Linked DNA regions of Struthio camelus. The main gene of each other region encodes a partner of the protein of the gene in region 4 in a complex. Links are inferred from orthologs where the notes say so. Each region holds a gene or a part of one and is shown on either strand. Other genes may lie near its edges.

Region 1 (7,419 bases), on a different chromosome or scaffold from region 4:
AAGCTAGCAAAGGGAACAGAGTTAGTTAGTTTCCAAGATGCTTTGGAAACCTCTCACAGTTCCTCCGTGAACCTGTGAATAAGGTCAGAGATTGAATGAGCCATGCTGAGACCCACCAGCACTGTAATTTGAGGAAGCTTCCACAGGTGCTGCCCCATCTGAACAGGATCCAAAGTCAGAGCCACTGGAAACAGCCCACTGGCTTCATCAAGTTTGCATTAGGCTCAGAGGGACAGTCCTGGGGACTCAGCTCAGTGGGCTGCCTGCAAAAGAAATACTCATCTGGGACCAGTAAAACAGGTTTATTCATTATGCACTGGACAAGTTGCCAAATGGCACATAACAATCTCAAGTGTCTCAATTCACAGATCTCCAGGGAGTGGAGAGAATTCAGGCCCTTGTCTGCATTAGCACCATTCAGTGCAGTGCAGAACTTTCCTCTCTGACCCCTCTTGCTGAAAGGAGGGGGAAAAAAAAGCATACATATAAAACAAGGAATTGCTTGTCAAGAGTTCAGGGCTCAAATTCTGGCTCAGCCCAAGGTCTTGGGCATGTCCATTAGTTTACCTCTGTTGCTTTCTTTGCAAAAAATAAACATATGTTATCACACATTAATTATAAATGTTCTAAGGTTGCTAGTATTATAGAGTTGGAAGTCATAGAAATGTTGCTTTTAAGCAAGAGTGAAGGCTGAGTAGATATTAAAAATGCATTTTAATACTACTGCATTAATGACAAAATGCTATTGCAGCAATTTGTGCCTGTTCTACATCTCCTTTTTAAACTCGGTGATTTCCAAGGTGATTTAAACTGCCAGTGAGAAGACGATAAAAACATGTGAAATTTAAGTTTAAAAATCAAGCATGCAATAAGCCTTTTAAATTATATTTTGAAATGAAGTAAGTGTATTTTACTTTAGGATCTGGTTTACAAACCATTTTTGGAACTTCCTGTCTAGGGTCTGCAAGAAAAGGATTATTTCCTAGTTTACCAAAATTTTGCCTCATTGACCCTTTGTTAGAAAGCATATTCCCACAATATCATACCTTTTCATCTCGAGACTGGGTTGTTGCTGCCAGTTCTGCCTTTAAAGCTGTGAGTGTTTCAGTGTTTTTTGTAATCCGGCGGGAGATGTTTTCCATGAACTGAATCTTTTCTTTCTCTTCTAAGAGACTAGTCAGCAGTCTCTCATGCATGAAATTCCTGAACTCCCTAAAGGCCTTGATAAACGCTTCAGCTGATGACTGCTTTGCACAGACTTCATATTTCAGAGCCTGACAAAGTGAAGGGTTGGCGAGCAAGCGTCTCAGAATATTTCTAACAGAACTTTTCAGATGTTGCTCTAGCAAGCAAAGACAGTCCCTCTGTTCCTCTGCTCTTGACGTGTCCTCTTCTTGAAAGCTGGAGAGTAGGTCCTCCACTTTGCTTGAAAGCTTTTGGTGCTCAATCAGGTCATTTGTGATCGCAGGGCCCAGCATATCAGCAAACCTATCCAGAGAGTCAATAATACAAGGGATCAAACTGCTCAGCTCCAGCTTGACAATCGTCTCATCCAAGACAGATATGATTCTTTGGGTCTCACGAGTATTAAGTTTTGACCGACTTCGATCTAACATCTTCTTGGCATCTAATCCGATCACTTCCTTATTTGGAGTTTGAACGCCTTTTATCAAGGGCTTATTTCTTTGCTTCGTGTCCCGAGATGATCCTTGGAGCACAGTTGGATTCCCTGTTGCCATGGCTTCGGTTAAATAATTCTGAGCTGAGTCTTCTGAGGTCTAGAAGGGACACAAAGAGTAAGACCACAGAGAATGACTCAGTCGAAGTACATCAAGGTCCCTCTGCTGCTTCTGTGGCAAATTCTTCTTCCTCAGATTTTATCTTTAAAATAAAGTTTGGTGAGAGCATTAGAGAAACAACATTATTTGGGAAAACGTGGGAGTTTCAGATTACACTCTAGTTGTCCCTAGGTCTAGGCACACAATAAGGGCATTGGGGTTTTACATTAGAAGTGATCTCTATCCCAGAGATGCTGTTAAACGTCCAAATGTACCAGAACGCCCATGGGAAAGGAAGAAAACTAATAACCTCCCTACTTTGAAGGATGGTGAGGAGAAAGCTCCCAGCTCCTTCTAAGTAGCAGGTGAGATGGAGATCACCGATTGCAGCTCTACAATGTTTACAGGTGCATGGGGGGGGGGGGGGGGGGCTTGCAGGTCTCTAGGGCCACCTCAGAAGGAAGGGCAGGTTTCCTGGTGGGAAACATGCACCTTCATCAGTTCAGGCCTGGTGCTGCTGGAGGGAGGAAGTGCAAGAGCTGATCCCCGCCTGGAGGGGCTGTGCTGGCAAGGACAAGGGCCAGGGGAAGGGACAGTGAGGGGGCAGAGGGCAGCCGCATGTGGGAGGGTGACAGAGAGTCAAGGGTCCTCTGGCTGTGTGTATGGGGGCACGAGTGCCAGGGGATCCCAGGGATCCCCCGGGCATGGGTCAAGGGGAGATTCAGGGAGCTTGGGGGGGGGGGGGGAATCCCCTGTGCGTGGGTTGTGGGAGTGGGGTGCCAGGGGTCCCCCAAGTGTGGGTCCAGGCCTGTTGGGGGTCCAGGCCTGAGGGGAGAGATGACCAGGGTGTATCTTGGCAGGGAGAAGGGGGAAGAGGGAAGGCGGGGGGGGGGGGGGGTGAAGGCCCAGGTATGTGAAGGGCCAGGGTGTATCTTGGGGGGTCAGGACCCGGGGGTGCTGGGGCCCAAGGACCCCGGGGGGCAGAGGCCCGGGGTGTGTTGCAGGGCCTTGGGGGTCGGGGGCACAGAGGCCCCGGGGGGTATCATGGCGGGGGGGGGGGTCGGGACGGGGGAGGGGAGGCCCGGGGTCGGGTCCGGGGAGGGGAGGCCCGGGGCCGGCGCGGGGGGTCTCCGGGGCCCTGCGGGCGCTACCCGGGCTCCGCTCGGCCCGCCGCCACCGCCGCTCCCGGCCCGCCCGGCCGCCGCCGGAGTCCTCGGGTTGCTAGGCGACCGAGCGCGGCGGGGAGGGGCAGGTCCCCTCCGACAGCCTATGGCGCCTGCTCCACTTCAGGGGCCGCAACACCTCGAGCCACTCAGCGTTCTCCCCCGCGCTTGATGGGCAGCGCGACTGTCCAATGAGAAGGCCACCTGAGGGCGCCGGGCCGCGGGAGCGAGCCGCGGCGGCGCGGGGAGCCGCCATCTTGGCTGGGGCTGGGGGCGTGAAGGCGGCCGCCCCCGCGGAGCGCTGAAGAGCGGTGCTGCGGACACAGAGAGGCGAGGGAGGCAGAAACGTGCATCAGTGGAAAGGGAACGGGGGTTTTCCGCAGCCTGGTCAGCCCTTGCTTTATTTTTGTAACGGCTGCTTACCAGGCGGGGAACAGGCCAGGCAAAGCAAGTCTCCCTGAAGGATTTGGCATCGTCCTCTGCGAGCAGATCCGGGCTCACAGCTCGCCTTCCCGCCAGGCCCCCGGGACACCAGGCAGCGTGTTCCTAAGAGCTCGAAAAATAAGCCGAAAAGTAAACTTCGTAACCCCCTTCCCCAGACTCAAGTCTCCTAGGCCCTCCGCACACAGAAAAGAGCAAAGGCAAAGTAGGGGAAGCACTTTTGCGAGCCCGTGCTCACATCCCCGTCCCCTCTCAAAGGGTTTCCTGCGTAACCGTCATCGCCACGTCTCAGCGCCGCCACTGACCTCAGGAACAAGACGTCAGGAGTAGCAGGTCATCACCGCTGCAAGCCACCTGCCGCCGCCGCACTGGAAACGGACCCTTTGCCTGGGCCCTGATGGAAAGACCGCTCCAGAGCAGGGACGTGGTGCTGCTAAAAAGATCTTTCAGGGGCGCAGAGTGCACGTACGCATCGGTCAGGCCACGGTTACAGAAATTCAGATCATGTAGCAAAATTAGACTGGGCAGAATATAAAGTCTGTGGGGATTTTAAATGTAAGACCATCAGCAACCAAGAAATTACCCTAACTGTACTGTTAAGGAAAAGTAATTTTATATCACACTGCATTCAGTGCTATTAAAATGCTAATAAACTCTGGAAGGCTTCTGCTGATTAAGATGCAGATGCCACACATGCACAATTAGTTGATTAGCCATGAATTAGCGACGTCTGTAGAGAACATACTGGCCCATCAAAACTCAGTGCAAGTCCTGTCCTCACACTGCTGAGGGATCAGCAGGAGGCATCCATGTGGGGAGAGAAAGGCTTGGGTTTCCGGGAGGAAACTTGGCAAAATGCCCAAAGCCAGCGCTAGTCCTAGTGACATGTTTCTGTCTGAAGAGGAAGGAGTAAGTGCTAAGCAATGGCACAGCAGCTGTGGGACCCCACGGACAGCATCATCTGGCATCTCTGCTGCGGCGCTGCATAGAGTCTGCTCACGTCAACAAGAACATTTACTTATTTCTGGGCTTAGCCTGTTTGAGCCAGTGAATAAATCCCCAGCGCTGGAGACTGTGCCCAGCACTGGTCCAGCGCATCTCTTGGCTATTATTCCCTGCACAACGCAAACTAGGATCTGGTGATGGGAGATGGAGTAGGAGTACCAGGGCCAGACTCTCAAAGCCAGGCCCCTGCGAGGATGGATGGGAGGAAAGCACCCCTGGGAAGCAGTTCCTTACGTACAGGTCAGGGACTGCTCGTGCAGTGGCTGAGCTGCCTCCTGCTCCCAGCAACCAAGTCAAAGGAGGAGGAACGGCGCTAATGTTGCCATGATCCCTTCCTTCCCTCTGCCTGGGACCATGCAAGTGCAGAGCCACAAACAGGGGACGGCTCCCTGGTTAGTGTGCCTGGGCTCAGCACAGCACAGGTTCAGAGGAAGGTCCGGCTGGGATTCAGTGCAATGGTAAGTCTGGTTCAAGTCAAAAATGCTGCAGCCACCAGCACAACACCCTAAGTTGGTTCACCCAGCCAGCTGTGGGGTGGGGTGGTAGCTCTAACTCTGTGTGTGGGACAGTCTGTCTTCAGCTTCCAGCAAAAGCACAGAGCTGTCCAGAAGCACCTTCTCTTGTGCCCTAATTTGGCACTTGTGATTATGTCAGCTCCAAATCAGCGTGGCTGTGCTGGCTGAGCAGGAGACCCACAGCTTTAGCACAGCAGGGCCATAAAATCAGAAAGATAGTGTGCCGCTGATTGGATGTTTTCCTAATGGCATACTGCGGTCATCGCAGCACAGAGAAATAGCCCTGGAGACATAGAGAGCTGCTTCTTTTCCTGCCAAGGATTTCAGGAGCGAACCCTGACCCCAGTGAAAGGCTGCCACTCCCCTGTAGACGTTTTGGCAATTAAATCAGTCTTGAAAAAAATGTCTTTTTCTTTCCAAAGCTGATGAGTCCAGATTGCCTCATATGAAATGGGCAACTGCTCTCGGAGAAGTGGAAACTCCAGCTTCCTTACAGCCATGACCTGGAGACAGGATCAACTGCTGTGAGCAATTGTCAGCTGAGAGTCCCGCGTGCCCATGCACGTGGCCTGCCTGGAGGGACAGAAGCATTTTGGAACATACAGAGGAGAGAGGAAGAAAAGGGTGAGCCTGTGGGTCGCGTCCAGACCTCCTCTTAGCTAGGGAAACCCATGGAGCACTGCAACTCCCTTCTGGATGCTAATTAGAGATATCTCAAACTTGCAGGCTGCAGTGGGGGTGATGGCATGTGCTCAGAGCAGCCTCACTCGTCCTGCAGCTTCCAGTACCACCTCCAGGCCGGGAGCAGCTTTTCTGCCAGGAATGAAACCAGGCTGCTTTGGGAGCTGTACGAAATGTCACCAAAACTGTGTGTCGTCCCTTCCTCTTGTCCAGGATGTAGAAAAACCTCAGATCGGTCCTGAAACAATTCAGCCTGCAAACAAACCGGCCCAGCCTGCATCAGGACCCAGAGCTCCAGCACATCCAAAGGTGCTCGGGAATCAGAACTGTATGGGCAAGGGAGCTGTGCTGGGTACACCTGATCAGGAAAGGGGGAGCTGAGAGGCTCTGCGTGTGGGTACAGCCCAGGCATGCTGTCCCCCACTGTTCAAGTCCAGCTGTGTTCAGATGCAAAGGTCTCTGTATATCCCTTGTAACTAAACAGCTGAACATCAAAGGCCTGCTTGGCCCCGTCTGCCTTTTCACCTCCCCATTTGAACCACTCTTCAGACGCAGAATTTTTAACTACTCACTGAAAGGCAGTAATTGGCTCATCCTTCTCCATTGTGGCAAAGAGAAGGCAAGGTTCGGCATGTGTGAGCAAGCAGGCTCTGCTGATCAGCGTGGAAAGCTGTGATCCTCTGCAATTTGGGTTTATCCAAATCAGTTCCTTGCCTTGTGCTACCACCCATCCATATGTGGGTCAACGGAAGGAACAGCAGGGAGGGGAGTATATTGCACCAGTTAAAACTGATTGTGAAACGACAGCAAAAGAGCAGAGGCACACGAAGATGCCAGGCTGCAAGGTTATCGTACCCAGGCCCAGTGTTACTGTAGGGACAGTCCCCTCTCTTCTTGGCCCTGACTGCAGGTCCCTGCCACTAACTTTGTGTTGGCTGTAGCCAGAATGCAGCTGCGGGGAGGCAGAACTTGTTCACTGAGAGCATCTTCTGCTCTTCTGCACACCAGCTCTGAAGCCGTGAACTCCCATCGTGCTCTCAGCACCGAGCTATACTGCTGAGCCGAAGTGGACTGCGTTTGGAGGGCTGAGAGCACTTCACAGGCTGCCACCACCAGCAACCTGGGGTATCACCACAACAGACACCGCGTGAGGAGCTGCATCCTCAGGATGCCCTGGCAGGAGCCAGTTGCACTCATTGCTGTGGTGTGCTGAGCCTTGCATGATGCACTGCTGGGAACATGGAGCTTTGGCACCAAAACAGGCCCTAGGGAATCTGCGGGACTGCCTGATCCCTGACCGCTGCACCCTGCTGCAGCTCTCGCTTGTTTTTACTAGTTCCCGTGTCTTGCTATGAGTCATTGCCAAGGGCATGCTCTTCATCTGTGTTGTGAGCAGGTGGGAGTGACCTGAACTTCCTCTTGCCCCCAGGAACCTGTTAGAAACACTCTGGTGAGGCTCTGGGAACATCATTAAAAATAACAGTATTGTGTCCCTTTCCTAGTGCTTATTTTCCATTTATTGGGGGAGGGAGAGAGAACATTTCATCACTCTTGTTATATGCAGAATTGTCTTTGACCTGCATTCCTTCCACATCCCTTGCCAGCTAATGGGTTGAATGCAGGTTAGCTAGCGCATGACAGGGCTTCGCAAACACCACTTTCAGGTTAATAGTTCCTATTTCTGTGGTGACCTCCATGCATAAGGGCCCAGAGCAGTTTGGGGTTGCACAGAGAAAATGAGACCCACCGCACTAAGGAACACCACTGGTATGAAGCGTTACAGCTGCTTGTTCACACAGAGCAAGACAGCAAAACAGGCTGAGCAGGAGAGGAATC
Region 2 (7,867 bases), on a different chromosome or scaffold from region 4:
CTTGTGCACTATGGAGTTGCATGTGATAAAAACTGAGACAGGTATGTAACTAAATTAAACAGAGCAGATGTTAATAACATGCACAATGCCCAGGATATCTGCAGTCTCATTCTTTGTAATCCTACTAAAACAACTATTTTTAGGTGAGCGCTAAAAGGATTTACACCTGCTAGGATTTAAATCTCTATTACATATACCACTTTTATCTCAACAGCAGTCTTTGCCTAACACAAGGGAAACAGGAATTTAGGAGGTTTCCCTCCACTAGGTAGGCAAGGAAATATTTCTTATTTTCTACTTGTGTGCAGTCTACAAAGTTGTAAACATTTATTGTTCGGCTTTGTAAATCACTCAGATTCCATGATGGGAGGCAGAGACAGGTCACAGTAAAGGCTGCTAGTTATTTGTCTCCAGGATGTAGTCCGCTCCATGAGTAGCTAGCCAAGGATAGATCAAATCTCCATTTTAAACACCTAGTTCAGACTCACTACTGCATCACTGTGCTGTGGATTCTGATACACTACCCAAAAAAAAATTCTTCAGAACAGTTAGAGGGGATAAAAACACAAGTGTACAAAAATGAAACAGATTCCACATTTTATTTCCAATAAAAATTTAGATCCTAGATGGATACAGCATCTGTAAAAAACAAACAGAATCATGTTAGAAATCTTGTTACTGCACTGTACTGTTTCAAACAAATCTTGCAGTTGCATTCTACAATCATGGATCCCCAACTACTACAAAAACAGGCCCCAATTTTCACAGAAGAGGTGCAAGAATAAAAAAAAGCCTAGCAATTGGTTCAAAGACTTGAAGTATCACTTTGCTGGCAGAGAGGCTCCCTCCCCATGCAGCCAGCCCTTCCATTCACTGAGAGGAGGAGATGCTCATGAGCCTACTTTCAGGCTTTAACCATGCTGTTCCTACCACGCTTTTTGTAAGGCACAGGAAAAACATGAAAAGTAAGGATCGCATCTTTCTGACGCTCCTCTTGACAGTATCACTAGCAAGATCCTGCATGAAAAGCCTGGGTGATGGCCCAAAAGGGAAAGTTTCACTGAAGCCTTGTGACCAAACAAATTGTTGAACAGGTCCTACTGCCGCAAGACTGCGGAGCCCTCAGTGAAAGTGTTTGCAAGAGAAAAGGAAAACTGATGTCATAGCTCCCTTGCCAATGGTAGGAAATGGAGAATAGGAAGCATATAAAAAGAACACGCACAAGATTTAGGGAAGAGGAATCAAAATGGCTTTAGAAAGGAGTTGAGGAAGAATTTAGGAACTTAAAAAGCCTTTGCAGTCAACTTGAATAAGCATACAAACCCCTCAACAATGAGACCAGTCCTCTCAACACAAGAAGCCAGTGCTAAACCTCTTCTAGCTCCAAAAGGAGCACTTACCACAGGGCCATGTTGAACACACAGTAGTAACAGAACGAAGTCATATGTATATTCCAAGCTCTCCCTCGTACTCTGGGAGATTAAAACACATCCCAAAAACACTATCAAAAAACATCTTGTTGCTAAAATATATCCACTTACCACTCGGATTCTGTGTCCAATGGCCTTGGCAGGAAGGTTGGAACGGAACTTAGCACGAACCATGCCACTGTTCCCATGGGCGCGGGTTACCTTCCCCCAAATCACTCGTGTCCTGTTGGGCTTACCACCGGGGGTTACAGTGTTGCTAAAGAAACAGCGAAAAAAAATTCTGAGCATCTCAGTCTTGACTCTGCGCAAGACTGACCAGTGATGGGACAGACAACGTAGCCTCTTTAAGGCACTTCCATAATTGTATTCCAGTCATTTTTAATTGGATCAACTTCCACTTTCATGTGCCCTTGGAAACTGTTACGGCTGTAATTTCCACTACGCCCTCCACATGGAGGGAATATCGTGGCTAGTAATTTATCAGCAGCTCCACTGCAGAGCTACTAATGAGACATAACCTTAAGATGATGAAAAAAAAAAAATCACTGGATGTTAAGATAATCAACATGAAAACTCATAAGCTGTTACTACAAAAAAAAAGTAACATGTTCTAAGATTTCTCCAGATACACCAAAGGGCAAGAGCGGCCTAAGGCACCGGGATAGACTGCGAAAATTGCTTTAAAAAAAAAAAAAGGCATAAACCACCTTGGAAACGAAGATCAACACGCAAATAGCCTGACCAATTTTATTCAGTGCAACTCTGAACTCTTGCATCTAGCTCTCACAATTACACACTAAGTAGAAAGGCATAAGCAACTACTCTAAGGCCTCCACCAACACCAGTATAGCAGAAGTGACATTGCTCTGACACAGGCACGCAAAAGCAGCTCAGGATTCAAACTCCTTCAGGCTGCACTCCAGGCTTCATGTAATGTTCTTCGGCCATTTAAATAATTGAAATGTCATAGTGATCAACACCAATTCAGCTAACTCCAATATACTGCATTATCAGCTTGCCTTCAGCTCTGCTAGCCTCAGAAGCAAAATTTGTTATCCCACTTGTTAATATAGTGTTTCTAAGAGCAAAGCTATTCCCATATAAATACACGATCTGAATTAACAACACAAAGGTCACTTAAAGCAGACACATCCTGAAAAACTTTAAACTGAGACCAACCAAGGAAACTACTCTACAAAACACTCCACGGACAGCCTGTTGACAAGCTCAGCTCAACTTATTTTTGTCACAACAAGAAGTGACTGATCACATCCCAGCCTTTGCAAAAGCTGATATAGGAGTTTCTAATTTAGCACAACAACGAAAAGTTACTTACTTTTTAGCTTTGTACACGTAGGCACATCTTTTGCCCAAGTAAAACTCTGTTTCCTGCCGGGCATAAACCCCCTCAATTTTCAGAAGGGCAGTGTGCTCCCTCTGGTTTCGGAGGCCACGTTTGTAGCCAGCAAAAATGGCCTTGGACCACAACCTAAAAACATTGATAAATGATAAATCACTCCAAGGTATTAGATGCAAAAAACAAATAATGTTCTGTTTCAGAAGGAACTATTTTTACACCAGGAGAAGTTTAGTTGATGAAAAAATAAAGTTTCGTTTATATAGATTTCTACAAACCCTTACAGCCAGTCAACGGAGAAAAGTACCTGGAGCCTGAAGCATTTAAGAACTCTATAACTTTCTTTGTTATAAACTTCTCTTTCTACTACAGCCTTCATACCAAGAGCAAAGCCTTTCAATATTAGCATATGTTATATTTTCAAACATTTGCAAACTGTTTTTGGCATGGGTAAACGTTACTGTTTTCAATACATCACACTAACGTGACAGTCTCCTGTGCTGTACTAACTGCTATAGGAGAAGATATTAACTGTTGTCCATCGTAACACAACTTTGCAGCCTCAAAGGAATTAACTGCAGTCTCTGGGGACAGTCACTCCGTCCACATCCAATGGACAAATTACATTATACTATCACCCCAACAATTTTTCATGACAAAGACCTGTTTGTCCCACCCACTTCAAGCAATTACATGGCTGATTCTATATATCACATAGAAAATATAACTAGTCTCAACTGCATATGCCAACTGGCCCATAATATTACAACGTCAAACTGACTTATCTAGTTTTATCTCCCGTATGTGCATAAGATAAACCCAAGCATATCAAAACAAGACACTGTAATTCAGTTTTCATTTTTCTGGCACATGCAGTATTAACACTCCCTACGTCCATTAAAAAATTGTGGTGTCACAGTACCTCTCTTACTTAAGAAAACAGTATGGGAAAACCTGTACTGTACACTGCAGGCTCTTAAACACCGTGATAACTGAAACCACACTAATGTTCAGCATCAAAAGCCAGGCACTGGAAAGCCTGGCACATCATATGAACAATTACAACCAGTTTAAGGTAGTGGAGACACAACCATAGGTGTTTAACAAAGCAGGCACAGCACAGCGTCAGACAGAGAACTTGTCCAGAAAAAGGGGCAGCCACAGGAAACACGAATCACTGTTTGACGGTACACACTCGGGAATACTCCGTTTACAAGACCACCTGCCAAAAGTGCGGCTGTCACAGCGAGCCGAGACCCCGTATCGGGGCAGGTCACTCACCTCCCGCTCATGGCGTCCTCCTGAAGCCCTGGTCCAGCAGGCCTAGAAACGACACAATGAGCCATGAGCGCCTCGGGCCGACAGCTCACCCGGCAGCCCCTGCCTGCCGGCCGGGCGGCAGCCGCCTCGGCCTGCTCCGCCGGGCCCGGGACACCCGGCCGCCACAGCCGGCGGGCCGGGGCCGCCCACACCACGGCCGGCGACAGCGGCAGAGCGGCCGCCAACCTCCCCACGACGGGTGCTGCCGCCCGCGGGCCGCCAAGGCCGCCTGCTCCCCCCCCCCCCCGAACGGGACGGGACGGCCCGAACGCCTCGCCCCCCCTCAGCTGCGGGCTCCCAACGGCACCCGGGACCATCCGCCACGCATCGGCGCCATCCCGCCCGCCGCCGCCTCCGCTCGGCGCCAGCCGCAGCGCCCCGAGTGCCCCGCGCCCGCCGGCAGCCCCATGGCTTGGGGGGGGGGGAGGGGGGGGGAAGCGGCCCCCTCAGCCCCGCGCCGCCGCTCCCGCCTCACCCCCGCGGCGCCGAGCCAAGATGGCGGCGAAAGAGAGAACAGCCGCGCGGCCTGCCGGGATATGGGCCGGCGTGGACCCCCCTCCCCCCGTGGGTGGCCACGGTGCCGCCTGGGTGGAGAAAGCTAAGACGCCGCAAGTGGTAACAAAGCCCCAGGCGGCCCCTCCTCAGCCCAACGCTCGCTTTCCCCTTGCTCCCACGGGCCGAAATGCGGGGGGGGGGGGCTCTCATCCGGCCTTGCAGGCACCCACAGGGGCAGCCCCAAAAGGTCCCCGGCGGTCACCATGGAGACGGACGCCGCGGGCGCGAAGCCCCGGTGAGCGGCGGGCCGGGCCGAGGGGGCCGTCACCGCCGCGCCGGGCCGGGCCGGGGGCCATCTCGGCGTCCGCTGTACCCGCCTGTCACCTTGCTGGCGGGGAACCGCCACGCCTGTGAAGTCTCACGTTGCGGTGTTTTACCGAATAAGAGCAGACGTGAGCGCGTACTTACCTGTTTCCGCGCGTCGGCGTCGTTCCCGGCTGCTTTCTGCCGCTTCCCTCGCAGGGCCAGGCATTCAGGTGCGTCTACAGAGCGCTTTAAGGGATGCGGGAACCTAATTCCCGTTTCAAATGTACCCTCGCCACCCTGCCTTGCATTGCAACTTTGCTCCGAAGTGTCTTAAACTGCACCTGAGCCTGTGCCCTCCGTGCTTGTATGACGCAGTTAACCTTGGTAACTAAACCTGGTGTCATCTCGTCACCTCGTCAGCCGGGCTCTGAGGGCTCCAACCTGGGCTGAGGAAGTGGATCCTGATCCCGTGAGAAAACTGAGTCTGTCTGCACTTTGCTGGGCCAGGGTAGCAGCACGCCATGCCTTGTGAGCGTGCATAAGCAGGGATCTTTCTTAGACAGATAAAATGGCTGGGGAGGAGGAGCGGAGAGGGGAGGGGGTGTTTTGACTCTCCCAATTCCTGTGTTGGCTTCTGCTTGAAGGAAGAGGCAGCAAGCCCAGTAATGCTCGGTGACCTACTTACTAGGAGCAAAGAGCCTGCTAGGAACCTCTCTGGTCAGAGAAAGGACACGATCCCTGCTTCGAGGGGAACAAACCAACTGTCCAAACACTCACTTTTCCAACAGTACTGATGCCACAACCAATAAATGTTCCCTAACTCTGGTCTTCTCCTGTCCCATACAGATTAAGTCCCATAATAGAGCTAAGAGTAGCACCACGTCTTTTATTCTTTGCACTTAGTTCTAGCGTCTCATCGGTACAGTCTCAGAGAGCAGGAGCTGAAAATGTTTTTCTACAGTCGGAACAAAGCCTGGATGGCATCTCAAAGCCAAAACCAAGATTACTTTAATTTATCAAGTTTTATTTTCTCTTTTTTCAAACGAGCAACTTATTTTCTAACATTTGTAGTAGTAGAGTTTAGTAAGACCACAGCGGCTTTGCTCGCCTAATAGACGTTGTTCTAGAAAAGCTAAGATATGCTGTATGGTCCAGTTCTGCCACTGTGGGAACTCAGAGGTTTCACTTTGACAGTATGTTTGCAAAACAGAGCTAAAGGAGATGTGACATTCTCAGCTTTGAATTTTCTCAGTGGAATTCATCCGTATTGCTACTTCTTAACTGACTAAAGAGGATGCTGCAGAAATGCTGCCTAAAAGCCTACTGTCTTTGCAGCCTTTTCAGTTTATCAGGCAGCAGGATGGGAGAAATGTACATGCAGGGCTCTCACACAGCAGAGGGAGTTACAATTCCCCAAGGAAGGAACAGTAGGCCAGACTTTTTATACAGTTGTTTTTAAAATTATTTCTTGATATGTTTTTCTTTTTCTTTAGAACAGCAGGGAAAGAATGTCAGCCTAAACTCTTGGGGGAAGCTCAGTCTTCCACATACCTCTTTTTCGTTAATAGAGTTTAACGAAGGAGTTGAGCAAAGTACAGTGATTTAGGTCAATGTCAGTGACTGAATCAGGATGGTCTGTGGGCACTGCATTCATGCTAAAATCTAGTGAGAGCAGCTCACTATTTGCAGTGTTTCTAAATGCCCCAGACAGTGGTTTCCTTCTCACTTCCAAGTCAACATAAGCCCAGGCAGAGCTTACTGGCTTGGCACAAGCATCTGCTGAGTATACGGATATAAGAGGAAATATATAGGAGGAGCAAATAGGAGGCTTTAAAGAAACATTACATTCCAGCTGTGTGATTTCTTAAAACACATAAATATCTTGAGTTAATTCTCTCCTGGACAGAAGTTGCTGATGGGGTACAGGAAAAGCCATTGCATCCTCCGCTGTTTCCAAATAAGTCACTTTTTCCTATGAGAGCTGCAAGTGTTATTTCTTCTTTCAAAAATGTTGTTGTAATCATTTGTCACAGCTCTCTCAAGAAATCTGTTTTCTCCAAATTTTTATCATTCGGGCTGAACATGTAAGAGACTATTCTCATGTTGTTTAGACCTGAAATATCATGATTTCTTTTTAAAAAAAGGTAAAACAAATTTACATAACAATTAACTAGTGCCTGTTAACTGTAAAGAGACTGTCTGACTTTCTCTGTGTAAAAATACTTAACTCAGATGAACTTGCATCTCCATTTCTACTATTAATGCCAAGTGTGAAAAGAAAAGTGACGTTTATTACTGTTATACAGATTATTAGCTACCTTTAGTTAATCATTTTATCAGATTCCTATCTCAAGCTGTAGCACATTTCTTATAATCCAGAGAAAGGAGAGAAAAAAATCTCAGAAGCAAAGGGAGGAAATCACTTCCTAAGTTAAAGGTCACAATCAAAAGCCCTAAAGAGTGAGATTAGTTATTTAAATAAATATAAGTAGTACAGGAAGGATAGTAAGCCTATTGAAAGTATTTGGAATCACTCCTTTGCTGTTACCTTTTCTGCCATGGTTTTAGCAAGGTTCTTAAAATAGTTTAGGGTGCCTCTGCCATTATCTTGATCTTTCTGAAAGTTAGAAACCTCATCGTAACTGCCTGGCTAAGTGTATTCATGAGGAAATCATACTCCTTTGACCTTGTAACAGTATTATCTTTTAACTTAAATAGCTCTGTCCCTCCCTAGTATCTGCCCTTCAAATATATTTACAGAGAGTAATCACACTCCTCAAGTCGTTTAACCTCTTGTAAAACAGATTCTCCGTTCCTCCAATCACCCCACTAGTCTTCCTCTGTCTCTGCATGTTTTTGAACACAAATGACTAGAAACACGCGCAGTGCCTTATCTGAGTTTAGTGGTGTCTTATACAGTGGCACTGATATTTCTTCCTATCTGCTGAAAATACCAGGC
Region 3 (7,070 bases), on a different chromosome or scaffold from region 4:
CTTCCCATGCTACAGCAGGGTTTGATGTGCACTGGAAGGACCTCAATGCACCCACAGATCATCATCTGGAGAGCCCTGCGGGCCATCAGCACCAAGAGAAATGGTCCCTTGCTCAGAGCACAAATTAGTTTTTCTTTCCCTGCGAACATGGATGGGGCTGAGCATGACAGGATTTGGGTTTGGATGTGCCACCACCAGTCCTAGATCCCTCTGATTGATGGGCAGACTGTTAGAGGGAAATTACATCCTTGGAGTCTTGCCCAAGAATCACAACCCATCCAGTCCTGAAGAGTTTGTATCACTGCTTCTTCCCACATAAACGCTGCTGTGTGACACTAAACTAAAAGGAGAGCAAAGTCAAAAGTCTACAGGCCAAGGACCTGAGAGGACTTTCCTATTTCACTGCCGCACCTGCCTGCTCTCCTCAATCTGCTTGTGGCTTCTTCTCTGCTCCTTCTCCTCCTCCTCCTCCTCTTCCTCAGCTGTCTTTGCCTCAGTATCTTCTCCAAGGGCCTCCCTGGGCAGAGAGAAGCAAAAGGGGAAAGGGATAGAACATTTGGCACAAGATCACCTTCCCAGCACCGAAAGGCCCACAGCTCTGTGTGTGGATCCCAGCGCAGACTGTTGAGTTCACCATAGCAATGTTTGGAGCAAAGATCTGACCTCATGGGTTTCATGTCAGATCCTGGGTGCCAGATCTCAGATCTTATTCGCAAGGTGAGAGGGCCCCATTTTTTTCACAAAGTAAAAAGGAAAGGTGATGCTGTTAAAAGCTCCACCAAACACACTTTGCTCTCTCCTCCCCCAGCAGGTCTAGCCCCAGGGTAGGAGGCCCTCCAAGATGTGGAAAGGAGGGAGGCAAGTGTGGACCAACCTGCCTGAGGGAAAACTCGTCCTGGCCCTCCCTTTCTGGAGCTTGAAGCAGAGCCTAGGTCTGGTTAGTGCCTGCAGCACAGCCCTGGGGGTCTGAGCCCAAGGGTTTGCTTCCCAGAGAAAGAGGTCAGGGGCTGAAAAGGTTGCATCTGAGGGAGTCCTTTTGTCACTGTGGGGGAGCTTGGCTCAGCCAGGGTCTCTGGATCCACTTCAGGGCTGGGTGAGGGGGTGGCACTGACCTCATTCTAATTCCACAGTCCAACCTAAAAGGAAGGCTCTGGGAGAACGAGCCTGTTCAGGGTGGGAAGGGTGTTACTGACCCAGGCTCAGCCTGGGGGGGGTAGGGTCAGCAGGCATCTATGCTACATATCATGTTCTGGTTCAGTCCAGTTTGGGCTAGAGATGGTGGTTACTGGCCCAGTTTGGTGGTACTGGCCAGGACTCAGTCAGACTAGCATGGGCTCTGGAGGGGGTGGCATTGCCCAGCCCCAGTTTGGCAGGGAGGAAGGGGGAGTTGCTCCAGGAGGTCTTGTCCTAGGGAGGTCCCCAAGCCTGTGCCAAGCCTGGGCTGGGGAAAGATGGAGCCCCTGAACCAGCCTCGGTTCAGGAGAGGGTGGCAGGCACTGCCTGTTGCTGGTTCTGTCCCCCCCTGCCTGGGGGGACAGCTACAGTTCAGGGAAGGATCCCAGTTCAGCCTGTATTTAGGGGAAGGTTTGCTCCATTGCTGGCAGATCCCAGTTTGGGGAAGGATGGGGATGTCACTGACTGGGGCCTGATCCAGGAGGCTACTGGCTTGGTACCAATTCGTTCCAAAGGGCAGAGGGTCACTGGCAGGGGGAAATTCTGGGGCAGGGGTATCACAGGGGTAGCTGGGCACAGGAAGGGAGGCCACAGGCCCCTCCTGAGGCACAAGATATTAACCCGGACTTGGTCTGGCAGCGAGTGAGGAGCGCTGACCAGGTCTGTGTCCAGGCTGCAGGCGTCTCTAGCCTGGTACTGGTTTGGGATAGGAGGTGGTCCCTGATCTGGTGCCATGTGGCAGGGCATGTCCTCAAGCTGGTGCTGGTTCAGGATGGGGGGTGGTCCCTGACCTAATGGTGGCTCAGGAAGCATGGTGGTCCCTGTCCTGGGGTCATTTAGCAGGGACAGGAGATGTCCTTGACTTGGGGCTGGTTTGGGAAGCAGGGTGGTCCGCCACCCAGCGACATCTGTCAGGGAGCAGGGAATGTCTCTGACCTGGTGCTGGTTCTGGATTCAGGGCAGTCTCTGACCCAGTGCCAGAAGCAGGGGGAAGGTCCTAGATCCAGTGAAGGTTAGCATGTGCAGGTCCCTGACCCAGTACTGGTTTGAAGTGGGGTCGTCCCCAACCCAGTACTAGTTCGGGGTGGGGGTCCTCAGTCCAGTACAGGTTTTGGGGAAGGGGAGAGGAGGGTGGCAGGTCAATGACCTCGTATCTGTTTGGGGTGGATGGTCCCTGACTGGGTGTCGGTTCTGGCTGACGGGGGTTGAGGACTGGGTGCCAGTGTGGGGGTTGTAGGGTGAGGCCCCGATCTGGTGCCAGTCACAGGGAGGAGGTCACCCACGTCGGTTTGGGGGGGCTGGTGTGGGTCTGAGAGGGGTCTGCCCCCGGCGCCAGTTTGGGAAGGGCTGGTTCGGCAGGATGCATTTTTGACCCAGCATTGGTTTGCCAGAGTGAGCAGGGCGCCGGTACGGGCGGGGGGGGTCTGGGACCCGGTGCCGGTTAAAGGGGGCAGCCCCTGGCCCCAGTATGGGGTGGGGGGGGTCAGTTCCCGCCCGCTGCCGGTTCTGGGGGGAGGCCTGGACACAGTGGCGCTCCGGAAGGGCCCGAGCCGGAGCCAGGAGGAGGTAGAAGGTCCCGCACCAAGGATGGGAATGGCGGGTGGGGGGGGGCAGGCCGGGACCCGGTTCGCCAGTTTCTCACCGGCGCTTGGCCTCGAGGCGAGCAGCGATGCGGCGGCGACGCGCCGCAATGCGCTCCTCGGGCCCGGGGGCGCTGAGGGCCGGGCCCGAGCCCGGGCCCAGGTCCCGCCGCCGCCGCCGCCACCATGGCGCCGCCGCCTCCGCGCCCTCACCGCGGCTCATGCGGCCCCACGTCGCACGGCAACGCGGCCACCGCGCATGCGCGCTGCCGCCTCCCCGTCCGCGCCGCCGTTAGCGCTGCCCCCGTCGCATGGCAACGCCGCCACCGCGCATGCGCATCTCAGTCTCTCCCCCCCATCCCGCGCCGCGGCTCACGCGGCCCCGCGTTACGCGGTCACGCTGCCACTGCGCACGCACGTCGCCCGGCAACGCAGGGGCCGCCAACGCGCATGCGCGCTGCGGCAACGGCTGCCTCACGGGTGGCCGCGCTGAGGGGTCGGGGCGGGAGGGCGGTAGGCGCGGGGGCTGGTGCTAAGGAAATGCGACACTGCAGTGACACTTCACTGGTGTCCCGTGTCACGGGAGTCACCGTGTCACCGACCGCTGACAGTTGTGGGCGGGGCAGGGACAAGTTTGAGTCTGCTCCGGGCAAGGGGAGCCCTCACGCAAGCTGTGCCTCAGCGCTGACAGGCCAAGGCCAAGCACAGAATAGGCAGTGGGGATGGTTGCGTGGGGAAGAAAAAAGTTTGAGAGTATGTGTGAGAGGATAGCAGGAGAAAAAGGGTGAGGGAAAGCCAGCCCTGTGTCCTGGGCTGCATTGGGACCCCCAGCCAGGACATTCCCATGAACATTTTCCTCGGTGTCCCTACCCCGAGGAGAGCGCGCTGTCCTCAGAGCAGCAGGTTTCACCCCGCGAGGGTCCCCTCCTGCGGACGTGGTGCCCGCTGTGCCAGGCTGCTCAGTGGTGTCCAAAAAGCCAGGGCAATACTTGGGCCTGCTGAAGCCAGGAGCTTTCTTCCTCTGTGCTTCACAGCCGGCATCCTTCCCTCCTTGTCCTGGTGAGCACCAGGTGCTGGCAGTGGAGGAGAAGGGGTTGTTCTGCAGTCCCAAGGCAGCCAGGTGTGATCATGTCAGCCTCATCCCTGTGTTAGAGAAGGAAATTGTAGCTGACTTAGCTTCAGTTCAGCATAAGTCTGACTCTTGCTTAGCATAAGTGCCTAAAGTAGATGAAGCCTGCAGGCCTCAAGGCCAAACTGTCAATGAACTCACAAACATTGCTGATGATGTAACATTGCTGAGGATGTAACTGTACAACCAATTCAAACTAGCTAATAAAGATACAAAACTAGCTAATGAGGTCACAAAGTAGAATGCTGGAGACAAGATAGGATGCACCTGGGTTGTGGTTGACCTTCAAGAAGATAAGAGACTGTGGGAAACAAGGACATAGCAACCAGCCTGGGATGAAGGCCAAGACCAGACAGAAGAAGAGAGACGCCAATCAGAAGGAGAGGGACCACAGACTCAGTAAAGAAGATTGGAGGAGACCTTCACTGACAGGCAGGGAAATCAAACTGTAAAGGGTATAATTACCCCAGAATTGCTTTGTTCGGGGTGCCTCTCCGGAGGCACCAACTCGAGCTGTTGCTATGCTGTACTGTCATTTAAATAAATAATTAATTTTGCTGCAATACGTGCATGAGACTCTGCTCCTCGGAAACCTACAGTCAAACTGTTTCCATAACACCTCGTCACCTCAGCTCTCTCATCCCAGAGCCAGAGGACCAGGTTCCCCAGCCCAGCACAGCCATGCCACCTCTGAGATTTGCAGAAGTTGTGGTGGCTCCATCTGCACCAGGAACTCAACCTTGACCGGGCCTGGGCAGTGTGCTTTGCCCCGTCCCCCAAGGATGTCCTGTCCTGTTCTGTGCTCTGTCCCCCTTGTTCTGGTCTCCCTTCCCTGTGTCCCTCTTGTGTCTCTCTCTTGCCACTGGGAGAAGCTCAGCTTGGGTTTTAAGCAGGTGTACTGGTTGTGTGTGCTCTCTGCTCTTAAGTGGGCTGGGTGGGACAGGAGCCATATGTAACTGAAAGGCAAAGGGTGTTGGGGAAGGGAGTCAGGCTTGTTCAAGGCCTTTGGAAGGGCCACACAGATGATTTAGGGACTTCCTGATACAGGTGATAGAGGAGCCAATGAGGAGAGGACCTCATACTTACAAACAAGGAAGGGCTGGTTGGAGACGTGAAGGCTGGGGGTAACCTTGGCTGCAGTAACCATGCCTGGGTGGTGCTGGATTGGGAGAGGGAGGATAGGCTATGGTGTGAAGGCACAGGCTGAACTGGGGTCTAACACCATCCCCAGTGCTGGTATGGGGCAGGAGCCCTGAATTTTCGATTGGTTGGTGGGGGTGGTGTGTCTCTCTGTCCGAGCATTGTTTTATGTTGTGCATGGGTCGTGAAGCTGGCAGTGGTAGGCGGGGGGGGACTCTGGGCATGCAGATCCATCTCCCAGCAGTGCTTTGTCTCATGGCGCATGGCAATATGCCCCTTGGGCTCATGCTGCTCTGGTCCCGCCATGTTGCTCAGCAAGACTGGCACCGCACATGCGGAGTCAGGGAAGCCCTGCACGGCAGTCACACCAAGAACTGGTGGATGGCGGGTAGCAATGAGGTCTGATGCTGAGGGAAGCAGGAGCATCAACATTCAGGGTCCAAAGACCCTCGCTCTGGCCAATGGCTCTGAAGGGCAGAGCCGATTTCGCCAGTCAAGGACGACCTCGGGGTCATTGTGAGACGTGGGCATCCCTCATCCTCCATGTTATAATAGTGATTGTGGTCAGGTCCCCAAGACATTGATGTGGGGATGATTTTTAGGCCTACGGGTAGGAGAGTGGGAGAAGGTGAAATCTTGGGGGAACGGCTGGGAGTGGGTCAAGGGAATTCACTTCAAGGTTTGGTCAAGAAAGATCAGGCTCCTCACCCATAAGTTCCCACATGTACTTTTATTACAAGCATTGCTTACACGTCCATGACCATGGCGTTGAAGAGCGCATGGATTTCAGCCTCACGAGCACGCAGCTGGTGCTGCTGCTCTGCTCCAGCGGTGCCTGTGGGTGCTGAGCTCTCTGCTCCTGGAAGCCAGCCCGGCTTCCTCCGGACGCGTCTGTCCACCCTGCTCCGCAGCCCGCTCCACCATCTCTGCAGGCGCTGCATGTTTCTGCCCTGCCCCACGCACTTGTAGTCAGTGAAAGGCACAGGCTTACAGGCAGCTCTCCGGAGCCTGGTGAGAGCAGCACGGGAGGGTGGCTGTGCCCATGGGGGCAAGGGCACCGTGGGGGTTGGTGATGGAGAAGACCCCCTCTGCCCAGCTCTCTGCAGGTCTGTCGTGCTGGTGGAGACAGAGCACGTGGATGCCTGCTTTGCAGGAGGAGCCCTTTCCTTCCACCCAGCCTGGCCCTTGAGCCTTCCCCCTCGTGGCTTCTGTCCCTCCTGTGTCCCCTGTGCCTCTGTGAGCGGGGCTGCTGCCTGTGACAGAGATGACAGCCACAAGCCCTTGCTGTCCGATGAGCTGCCGTGCAGAGAAACACCTCGCTGCTTGCAACCTCTCCTGGAGCCGGCCATTTGTGGGAGCTTCTGTGTTATTTCCCATTTGTACACTGCCTTCCTGTTGATTGTCAGCTCAAAGCCCAGCCCCAGTTGGACCTGGATGTTCGTTCCCTCAATCTCCATGTTCACGAAGAGGAGGAAAGCAGCCAGCATGGCCATGTCCTGGGCGGCTGTGGGCCGGTTGTGGTGTGGGCAGCTGTTAGTGAGGCACCAGCAGCACTGCAGGCAGACGGGGTATTCCTCCATCACGTCTCTGCACAGAAGGGGAGTCTCACGCGCCATTTTTCTGCTCATCAGCTTGCCGAGCAGATTGACAGCAATTTGGGTGGTGTCAAGGGACCTCCTGAGGCATCTGGCAAGCTCTTCCACATTGGCGATGGGAATGCAGGTCCCTGAGGGTCTTGGAGCTCGTGGCAGCACAGACAGCTCCCTCTGGACTGGTGACTCCTGTGTCGCAGGGCATCTTTCTTGGGAAGTGCCTGTGCTCTGTGTTGAGAGCTTCTCAGTCATCAGGCACCCATTCCAGCAGCACTGGTTGGCCAGGAACTCTTCCAAAGCTTTGTCCTCCTCACATGCTTTGCAGCAGCAGTGTATGTCTTTGGAGGCACGGGATAAGCCTGCCCCAGCAGGATAAGGCGGCTGAGGGAGGTGCCAGGCATCTTCCTCCAAACGGGAACGGCTGTGCCAGGGGAGAAAAGGGCTGGAGTCCCAGCC
Region 4 (7,404 bases):
ACCAGCCTGCAGTCAGGACATGGTGGGGAGGCACGCACCTGGACCAGAAGCCAGATTGTGCTCATGGGGCTCTCAGTGGAGACATAGGCCCTCGTTGACTAGGAACAGTGATAACACCAGTGCATCCTCCCCTCCACTCTTCCCTTTGGTGCTTGTGGACAGACTGGGAATGGCTCACTGGCATCCCCAGCCCCTACCTTACCTTGGCAGAATGCCCCTCTGAAGCCTGGTTTGCAGTTGCAGATCGATCTGTCCTCCAACACCTGGCAGTCCCCCTGGTGCTGGCATGGGTTTGGTAGGCAGGCATTCAGGTTTCTCTTCAGGCGGATAGCAAACTGTTCCCTTCTGCCTTTTGGGCTCATCAGTTCAGCTATAGCAAAAGCAATATGAGGAAGTTGAAATGCAGCAAGAATATTTACCCTACAAGATGCACTAGAGTGAACTCCCCCTGCAGTGTGATTCCCCCTGCCCAGCTCACAAGGGCTGAGATACCTGCTTCTAGCCACAACAGGGTCACATTGCCACTGTGCTATTACATCTGAGGAAGAACCTCCCACCTCAGCTTGCCCAGAAGGATGTTTGTGTGACTGAGAACTTGGCAGACCCTTTTAAGCACAGCTGAATTCCCTTGTCTGTAATCTGGGCAGTGCCTGTGCCCATCTCCATGGATTTTAGGCTATGTATGGCTGGGATGGAGTGCCTGAGGCGTCTGCTTATTTTGCTTTGGCTTCCCAGTTCCTGCCCTCCAGAGCATCACTTTGTTGTCCCCCTTTAGCAGCTTCAGTGGTGTCCTGAACGAGCAACCCAGACACAGATCAGGTAAGGATTTGACCTCTTCTTTCCACACTACTTGGCTGTAACCCAGCAGGGACAATAAACAGGACGACTCACTCTTGTTGCCTTCAGAGACAGCCAGACAGAGGGTAGGAAGCAGCAGCAAATATGTCACAGTCCCATACTGTAAAAAGAAGCAGGTTGCTCAGTTTTCTAGCATGCTCGCTGGAGATGATGTTAATCATTCAGAAAGAGCCAACCCTCAAGCATACTATATTTCTGTACTATATTTCCTGTAATAACTACAAGTTCAATGGCATAAAGCCATTTCCTACGCGCAAGAGCCAGGAAAACCCCTTTGGAAATCAGGTGGCAAAACCCCTCATTCAGTCCACTAGGCTAAGATAAGGTCCAAATATTGTCCTGAATTTAGATGGTGTAGAGCTGAACCCTGAAGGGCTATGTCAGAAAGAAGGGTTGGGAGAAACCAGATCTCAGGTTAGCACATCCCTGCTGACAATGTTAAAGCTGTATTTCAGTACAAAACAGCACTTTGAGTAAAACCACACAGTGGAGGCATAAATCCAGGCTCCCAAAAGAGGAAATGAGTTTTCTACTCTCCTCACCACTGCCATAGCTCTCTCTTGAAGTTTAGAATTTGCAAGAGGATCCTTGCCTTTCCAGTCACCCTTTTTCAGAACAAGGGAGACAATGGGATTAAAACAAAAAGCCTTGAACACAACCAAAATGTATGCTATAAAACCTATAGCTCACCTCTATCTTGCTCACAGATAAAGTCAATGAAGTCTCACTCCCTCCCCCAGCAAATCTCCCCTGCTAGGTCAGATAACAGGTTTCTTTAGAGAAATTAACACTGTGGTGCTGGATGAGCCCTCGAAACTGGAGTGTCCTTATCAGAAACATGGATATGAGTCAGCTTGGGCTGGTGGCTAGAGCAATGCTCCGATCTGCCTTTGTCCTGCACTTTGCATGCGCGCTTAAAGTAGGGCAAAGTAAAGAGCAAAACCTCCATCCCCATCTGGCAGCAAACTGTATATTCCCACAGCCTATATGAAGCAGCTGCAAACACCAAAAATCTAGGCAAGGAGGATTTATTCCCAGCTTTGCTCCTTAGTCATTGCAGCAAAGCTACCTGCTTTGCAAAGCTCTTGAGACCCAAAACACCAGGTAGAAGCACCTGTCTCAGCAGGGCATTACTCCCAAAGCACAGTCCCTGAAGACTGATTCCAACTGCCAGGAAGGTTGTGCAGCTGGGGGTGCTCCAGCCTGGCCCTGGCTGCCTCTGCACAGGCGGGAAGGACTGGGCAAAGAGCCCCCCTGTGATGGGATCATGACCCCTTTCATCTCCAGCTCGGCATGATGATCTGGACAGATTTAGGAAGCTCTGTCTGCCTTTTTAAGGAGACAGGAGTTGCTGCCTACTTGCAAATTGCTTTCTAGGAAAAGAAATCTGTGACTTCATGAGTAGTGATCCTGAGAGATCCCACCAACATCCTCAACAGAAAGATTTCATCTGTTGTCATTCTACTCACCATTGCCAGGCCAATCTAAGCTCATCCACCCACAACTGCCCACGGGTCCTTCTCGTTCTCCCTGCCGCGCGCCTTATATCACCTTCCAGCAGCTCATCCTGCTCCCCCACGCAAACACGCTTTCTCAGCGATTGCACAAGAGCCGCCCTAGCATCCTTCAGCAGCAGCTGGGAAGGAAAGAGCTCTCCAAATGTTCATCCTTGTGCACAGACCTTCCTCTTAGCTCAGAGCTTGTGAATGCTCAGCCAATTTATGGCCCCGGTAGGATGCCACATAGAAGTGTTTGCAATATCCTCGAGAGTCTAGGTTTTTATGCATCCAAATGTTTTTGTGGAACCTGTTTTGCACTCAGCAATAACAATAGATCCCAGAGCCCCACAGAAGAACGCCAAATAACTGTGTACTAAACGCACATGGCTTAGCAAGCACATGTACGTTTGCTTTGGCTGTTTTTTAATGACTTCTGAAATGTAAGATCTGGTGAGAAATACTGTGAGGGACAGAGGGATAAGGGCTTACTCCTACCATTCTTCATGTTTATTTGGGAAATAACAACCTGCAAGGAACAGCAGCCACTCAAATAAACGATTCATGATGTTTTATATGAACTAGGATACTGCTGGACATAGCAAACATATTCAAATGAAAATAATTCAAAACAGCCTAACTGCAACTTTGCCCATATTCTCACCATTTTTATTGCATGGCTTGCTATATTCTGTGCACCCTTAGAGTTTTAATTGCTACAGTCAGTCCAATAGAACACCAGCTACAAAAATATAGCCAGCTAGATGCATTTTGTTTTCCTAACCACAATGAAAACCAGAAAACAAAACTGTTTAGAACCTGACCCAACTGAGAGCCTAATGAACTAATAATTAAAAACAAAACAAAAGCCTCCTGCAAGTCCCTGTTGCCAGATTTGGGGTGAGACACTCTGCTTTGCATTACACATTTTACAAAGGAATTAACCAGCAGTGATGCTTGTGTTTAATAACTTAGTGATGCAAAGGTAGCGCAGCCTGCAGGCTTAGAAAGCAGCAAAGAAAAAGGATGACGATTTTTGGTTTTTTTTAAAAAGCAAAGAGTAAAACTCATGAGGTTAAAGGCGGCCCCATCATTTCAGAGGACCTGATGGCAAAGCAGTACTGAGCTGGTATGGTTGGGTTGGGGCTGTTTGCTCACTTGCCCAGGGGTCCGTGCACCCTGGTGCTGCTGAGGAGCATGTCCTCAATGCTTTCCGCCTGTTCCCAACTCGTTTCGCACAAACATTTGCCAGAGGCGGGGGGGAACGACAGCATGCCAAAGGAAACCCACCTTCTGCCCAAACGACGAGGCGAGGAAGGGGGCAAGAGCCGCGTGCCCAGCGGCTGGGAGACGCTTGGGCGGGCGGCAGGTCGGCGGCAGGGTGGCCGGTGGCTGGGGGCGGCCGAGCCCAGGGAGCCCTGAGGAGGCCTCAGAGCCGGGGGTGGCCAGCCCGGGGCTGCGGGTGGCCGGTGGCCCAGCCGGTGGTGGCCCAGCTGGGGCTGCGGGTGGCCGGCAGCCCGCCTGGGGGCAGCTGGTGGTGGCCCGCCTGGGGCCGTGGGTGGCCGGTGGTGGCCCGCCTGGGGCCGTGGGTGGCCGGCAGCCCGCTGGGGGCAGCTGGTGGTGGCCCGCCTGGGGCCGTGGGTGGCCGGCAGCCCGCTGGGGGCAGCTGGTGGTGGCCCGCCTGGGGCCGTGGGTGGCCGGCGGCCCGCCTGGGGGCAGCTGGTGGTGGCCCGCCTGGGGCCGTGGGTGGCCGGCGGCCCGCCTGGGGGCAGCTGGTGGTGGCCCGCCTGGGGCCGTGGGTGGCCGGTGGCCTGGCCGGTGGTGGCCCGCCTGGGGCCGTGGGTGGCCGGCAGCCCGCCTGGGGGCAGCTGGTGGTGGCCCGCCTGGGGCCGTGGGTGGCCGGCAGCCCGCCTGGGGGCAGCTGGTGGTGGCCCGCCTGGGGCCGTGGGTGGCCGGCAGCCCGCCTGGGGGCAGCTGGTGGTGGCCCGCCTGGGGCCGTGGGTGGCCGGTGGCCTGGCCGGTGGTGGCCCGGGGCCTGCTGGGGCGGCAGCGCCAAGGGCAGCTCTGCGGCGCACGCGGGCCGGTTGCCATGGAGCGCCGGGAGCAGCGGGAGGGTGAGGCGGCGGTGGCGGCCGGGGCTGGGGGCGCAGGCCCCGCGGGGCAGCGGGCGGGGGCCGGTGAGGTGGCCGTGACGCTCGGGTCCCCCCGGTCAACCCCTCCGTCCTTGCGGGCCCCGCGGGGCTGCCGTCCCACCGCCCCCTCCCTGCATGCCAGGCATACTTGCCACCCGAGCACGGCCTGATAAAGACAAGGTCTGCGTCTCCATTTTCAGGCGCTATCTCCTCCGCGCTGGGGTCAGTTTGACCGCAAGAAGGGAGGGGAAAAAACAACCCCAGCCCCCTCCTCAACCCTCAAACTCCCTGCAATATATAGTGCTGTCCTTGGGCTGTGGCTCTTCTCTGTTTATTTTGCTGCAAAAACTCCTCGTCCCTTAAGGCCCCCGCAGAGCGCTGGGCTGCCAGCCCGGCCTAGCACAGCCCAGCAGCGAGCAGGACCAGCCGGGCCCAGGTGCTTGGCTGATTTTCAGAGCCCCTTGCCACCCGGCAGCACCTCCCTGGAGTGGGGGATACAGTGAGGTCTGAGACTGCAACCTGGGGATGTGTGATGCCCCACCGAGCAAGGCTCTCCGTTTTCTCCTGGACAGGAGGCCAGGGGTGAATAGCCCTCCTCCTCCCTTGGCCAGGGTGGCCTGGGAACATGCAGAATTATCATAGTAAAGGTAAAAGAGGTCAAGCGTTTTGGAAGGCATCAGAGCCCCTGGTGGCACGACTTCTCTGAAGCAGCTGGCAATGGTGCCAGCTGGAGGCAAGGCCTGGGTGAAAGGGTCCTGAGCCTGATGCTGCCACCTGATTTCCAAAGCAACACCTCTCAGCCATGTATTCACTGGGCCAAGTCCAAATTCAAATTCAGCATTCGTCCTTTTGTGTCGCAGAAATAGGAACTGCGCTTCTGGATGCCTCAGCCATGCTCACACACTACATCATTCAGCCCAGACTGTGGGAGTGTTTCTGCATTACTGTATATCTGATCCCACTCCCAAACTCACCCTGCTCTGTACTCTTCTCTAGTGCCGAGGAGGAGGCAGGATGGAGGTCCTAAAAGAGAATGAGGAAGAGGAGCAGAGAGAGGAAGAAGAGCTGAAAGCTTTGGAGATCAGTGATAAACAGCATGATGTGGAGAGGAAGTTGTCTGTAGACCAAGCCTGCACACCAAATGATGTACCGTAAGTTGCATGTGTTTTTCCCTTATTGTGATGAGCAAGGGATGTCCCTTTGCAGTCTGTGGGGAGGGGAACATTTCTGGGGGCCTGCACATGTGTGAATGGCATGTGTGGTCCCCATGTGCAGGGATGTGCATGTTTCTGTGTGCCTGGTATCCCAAATGTGTTTGTCCAGAAGTGGGCACATGAGTGAGTAAGAAGATAACACAGTTTTTTTTCAACTGTTCACTGCTCTATCAAGACATTATATACCAATCTCCCCGAGCCTCTAGGTCTATATCAGTTCACCATCACTCCAGGGAAGCTTGGCTATGTCAAAATTGATGCCTTCCTACTTCAAATTCTGCTTCTTTGCCTATGATTCCCCACTTTTCCCTGGGAAACAGGAAGTCTCGGCTGCATTTACACAGCGGCTCATTCTGCCTGAATCGTTCTCTGCTTGTTACCTGTGTCTCTCTCTGTCTCCTCCTGCCCTTGAAGCGATTTTGACTGGAGTTCCATTGACACGTCCGAGTTACCATCTTCCTACAAGACAAATTCCTCAAAGGAAAAGAAGCTGCTACGCATTGCCGACAACTTCCTTCAGCAGTACGCTCACCTCTGCCCCGACCGCGAGCCGCTTCTCCTTCACCCAGTCAATGAGTGTGGTGTGGAGGTACGGGATGGTGGAAGGCTGGGCCACAGCACATGGGGCAATCAGCTTCCATTAGTACCGAGCAGTGGGTAAGGACAGCAGCCCTATCTGCCCTCCCTCCTGGCCAAAGGGAATGGAAACCCACTCACTGCACACACGTGAGTGAGACACACAGCACCCCAGTAATACCCTAGCTGTCCATATCCACCAACCCATCTGATCACTGACACAGCAGCGGTGTACACGCAGGCCTCATGCAGCTAACAGCCCTGCAACACGACATGTGGGAAACAGGAAAGACAACAGAAACATAAAGAAGGAAAGTAAAAGAAACATGTGAAATATATGAGTTTCTACCCAGACTCAGGCTCAGAGCTATGGAATTTGGATCCAGATTTAGGTCGTATTCCAAGGTTCCCAGAATTTATTCAGGATAGATTTACACGTGGAGGTTTGTGGTTTGAATTTGTAATAGAACTGGGCCCAAGCTGCACAGCTGCTGTCTAGTTCTGGATCTGATACTCCCCCAAGCATGCTACTTTGGATCAACTTCCCCCAACATTTGTATCAATGTCATGCAAAGCAAAAAATGCCAGAGGGTGTAGAAGCTGGAAAGAGCAGTAGCTGTTTGTCTTACTTGAAAACGAAGAGCAGAAATCTCTCGCATCTGTAATGTGACTGAGATGAGTTTGAATATTTAGCCGCAGACAAACAGAAATGTCCTTTAGCAGATGGCCTCTCAAAGCCAAGCGTTTTCCATCTCAGAATGCGTGTGGAGGGCTAACGATGCTGTTGATATGCTCTAGGGACGTCCTGAATGTGAGCTGCATCATCCAGGGGTGGTCTAAGGATAGCTTTGGAGAGGGGACAGGAATCTGCTAGCTAACCAAAGTCTTCTTGTTGCCCTACAGAAGTTTGTGAGCACAACGGTGAGACCAACCCTCCTGCCTTATACAGAGCTGTACCACTGGGAAGGCTGTGCCAGCTTTGTCTCTGATTACCTCACCATGGAGCCCCTCAAGTCCCCTATCGCACCAGTAAGAAAGGGCTGCAGTTCCATCAGAAACAGCCCCATGGCCAAGGCAACAGTAGCCAGACACCATGTAGACACTCCAGGGCCACGGCTTACACTGGAC

The links.
Region 1: DRC7 (region 4) and IQCD share a complex: the UniProt entries of both Homo sapiens proteins name them as parts of the nexin-dynein regulatory complex. The link is inferred for Struthio camelus from reciprocal best matches to the Homo sapiens genes DRC7 and DRC10.
Region 2: DRC7 (region 4) and IQCG share a complex: the UniProt entries of both Homo sapiens proteins name them as parts of the nexin-dynein regulatory complex. The link is inferred for Struthio camelus from reciprocal best matches to the Homo sapiens genes DRC7 and DRC9.
Region 3: DRC7 (region 4) and DRC1 share a complex: the UniProt entries of both Homo sapiens proteins name them as parts of the nexin-dynein regulatory complex. The link is inferred for Struthio camelus from reciprocal best matches to the Homo sapiens genes DRC7 and DRC1.

What each region holds. Positions count from the first base shown.
Region 1 is NC_090958.1:4,675,161-4,682,579, forward strand, and holds the start of IQCD (dynein regulatory complex protein 10), read right to left. Parts: upstream 3,006-7,419; 5' UTR 2,930-3,005; intron 2,589-2,929; exon of another isoform or gene 2,089-2,588; intron 1,882-2,088; 5' UTR 1,740-1,881; coding exon 1,047-1,739; intron 1-1,046. UniProt on the Homo sapiens protein: Component of the nexin-dynein regulatory complex (N-DRC), a key regulator of ciliary/flagellar motility which maintains the alignment and integrity of the distal axoneme and regulates microtubule sliding in motile axonemes.
Region 2 is NC_090950.1:21,486,626-21,494,492, reverse strand, and holds the start of IQCG (dynein regulatory complex protein 9), read left to right. Parts: upstream 1-4,850; 5' UTR 4,851-4,865; coding exon 4,866-4,897; exon of another isoform or gene 4,898-5,138; intron 5,139-7,867. Other genes in the region: RPL35A (large ribosomal subunit protein eL33), read right to left, coding at 616-639, 1,542-1,686, 2,767-2,919, 4,069-4,110, 4,583-4,812. UniProt on the Homo sapiens protein: Component of the nexin-dynein regulatory complex (N-DRC), a key regulator of ciliary/flagellar motility which maintains the alignment and integrity of the distal axoneme and regulates microtubule sliding in motile axonemes.
Region 3 is NC_090944.1:8,795,371-8,802,440, reverse strand, and holds the start of DRC1 (dynein regulatory complex protein 1), read right to left. Parts: upstream 3,003-7,070; 5' UTR 2,977-3,002; coding exon 2,816-2,976; intron 518-2,815; coding exon 412-517; intron 1-411. UniProt on the Homo sapiens protein: Component of the nexin-dynein regulatory complex (N-DRC) a key regulator of ciliary/flagellar motility which maintains the alignment and integrity of the distal axoneme and regulates microtubule sliding in motile axonemes.
Region 4 is NC_090951.1:30,152,071-30,159,474, forward strand, and holds the start of DRC7 (dynein regulatory complex subunit 7), read left to right. Parts: upstream 1-4,390; 5' UTR 4,391-4,468; intron 4,469-4,634; exon of another isoform or gene 4,635-4,638; coding exon of another isoform or gene 4,639-4,680; exon of another isoform or gene 4,681-4,922; intron 4,923-5,482; 5' UTR 5,483-5,500; coding exon 5,501-5,637; intron 5,638-6,114; coding exon 6,115-6,289; intron 6,290-7,179; coding exon 7,180-7,305; intron 7,306-7,404. Other genes in the region: uromodulin, read right to left, coding at 203-370, 892-958, 4,639-4,680. UniProt on the Homo sapiens protein: Component of the nexin-dynein regulatory complex (N-DRC) a key regulator of ciliary/flagellar motility which maintains the alignment and integrity of the distal axoneme and regulates microtubule sliding in motile axonemes.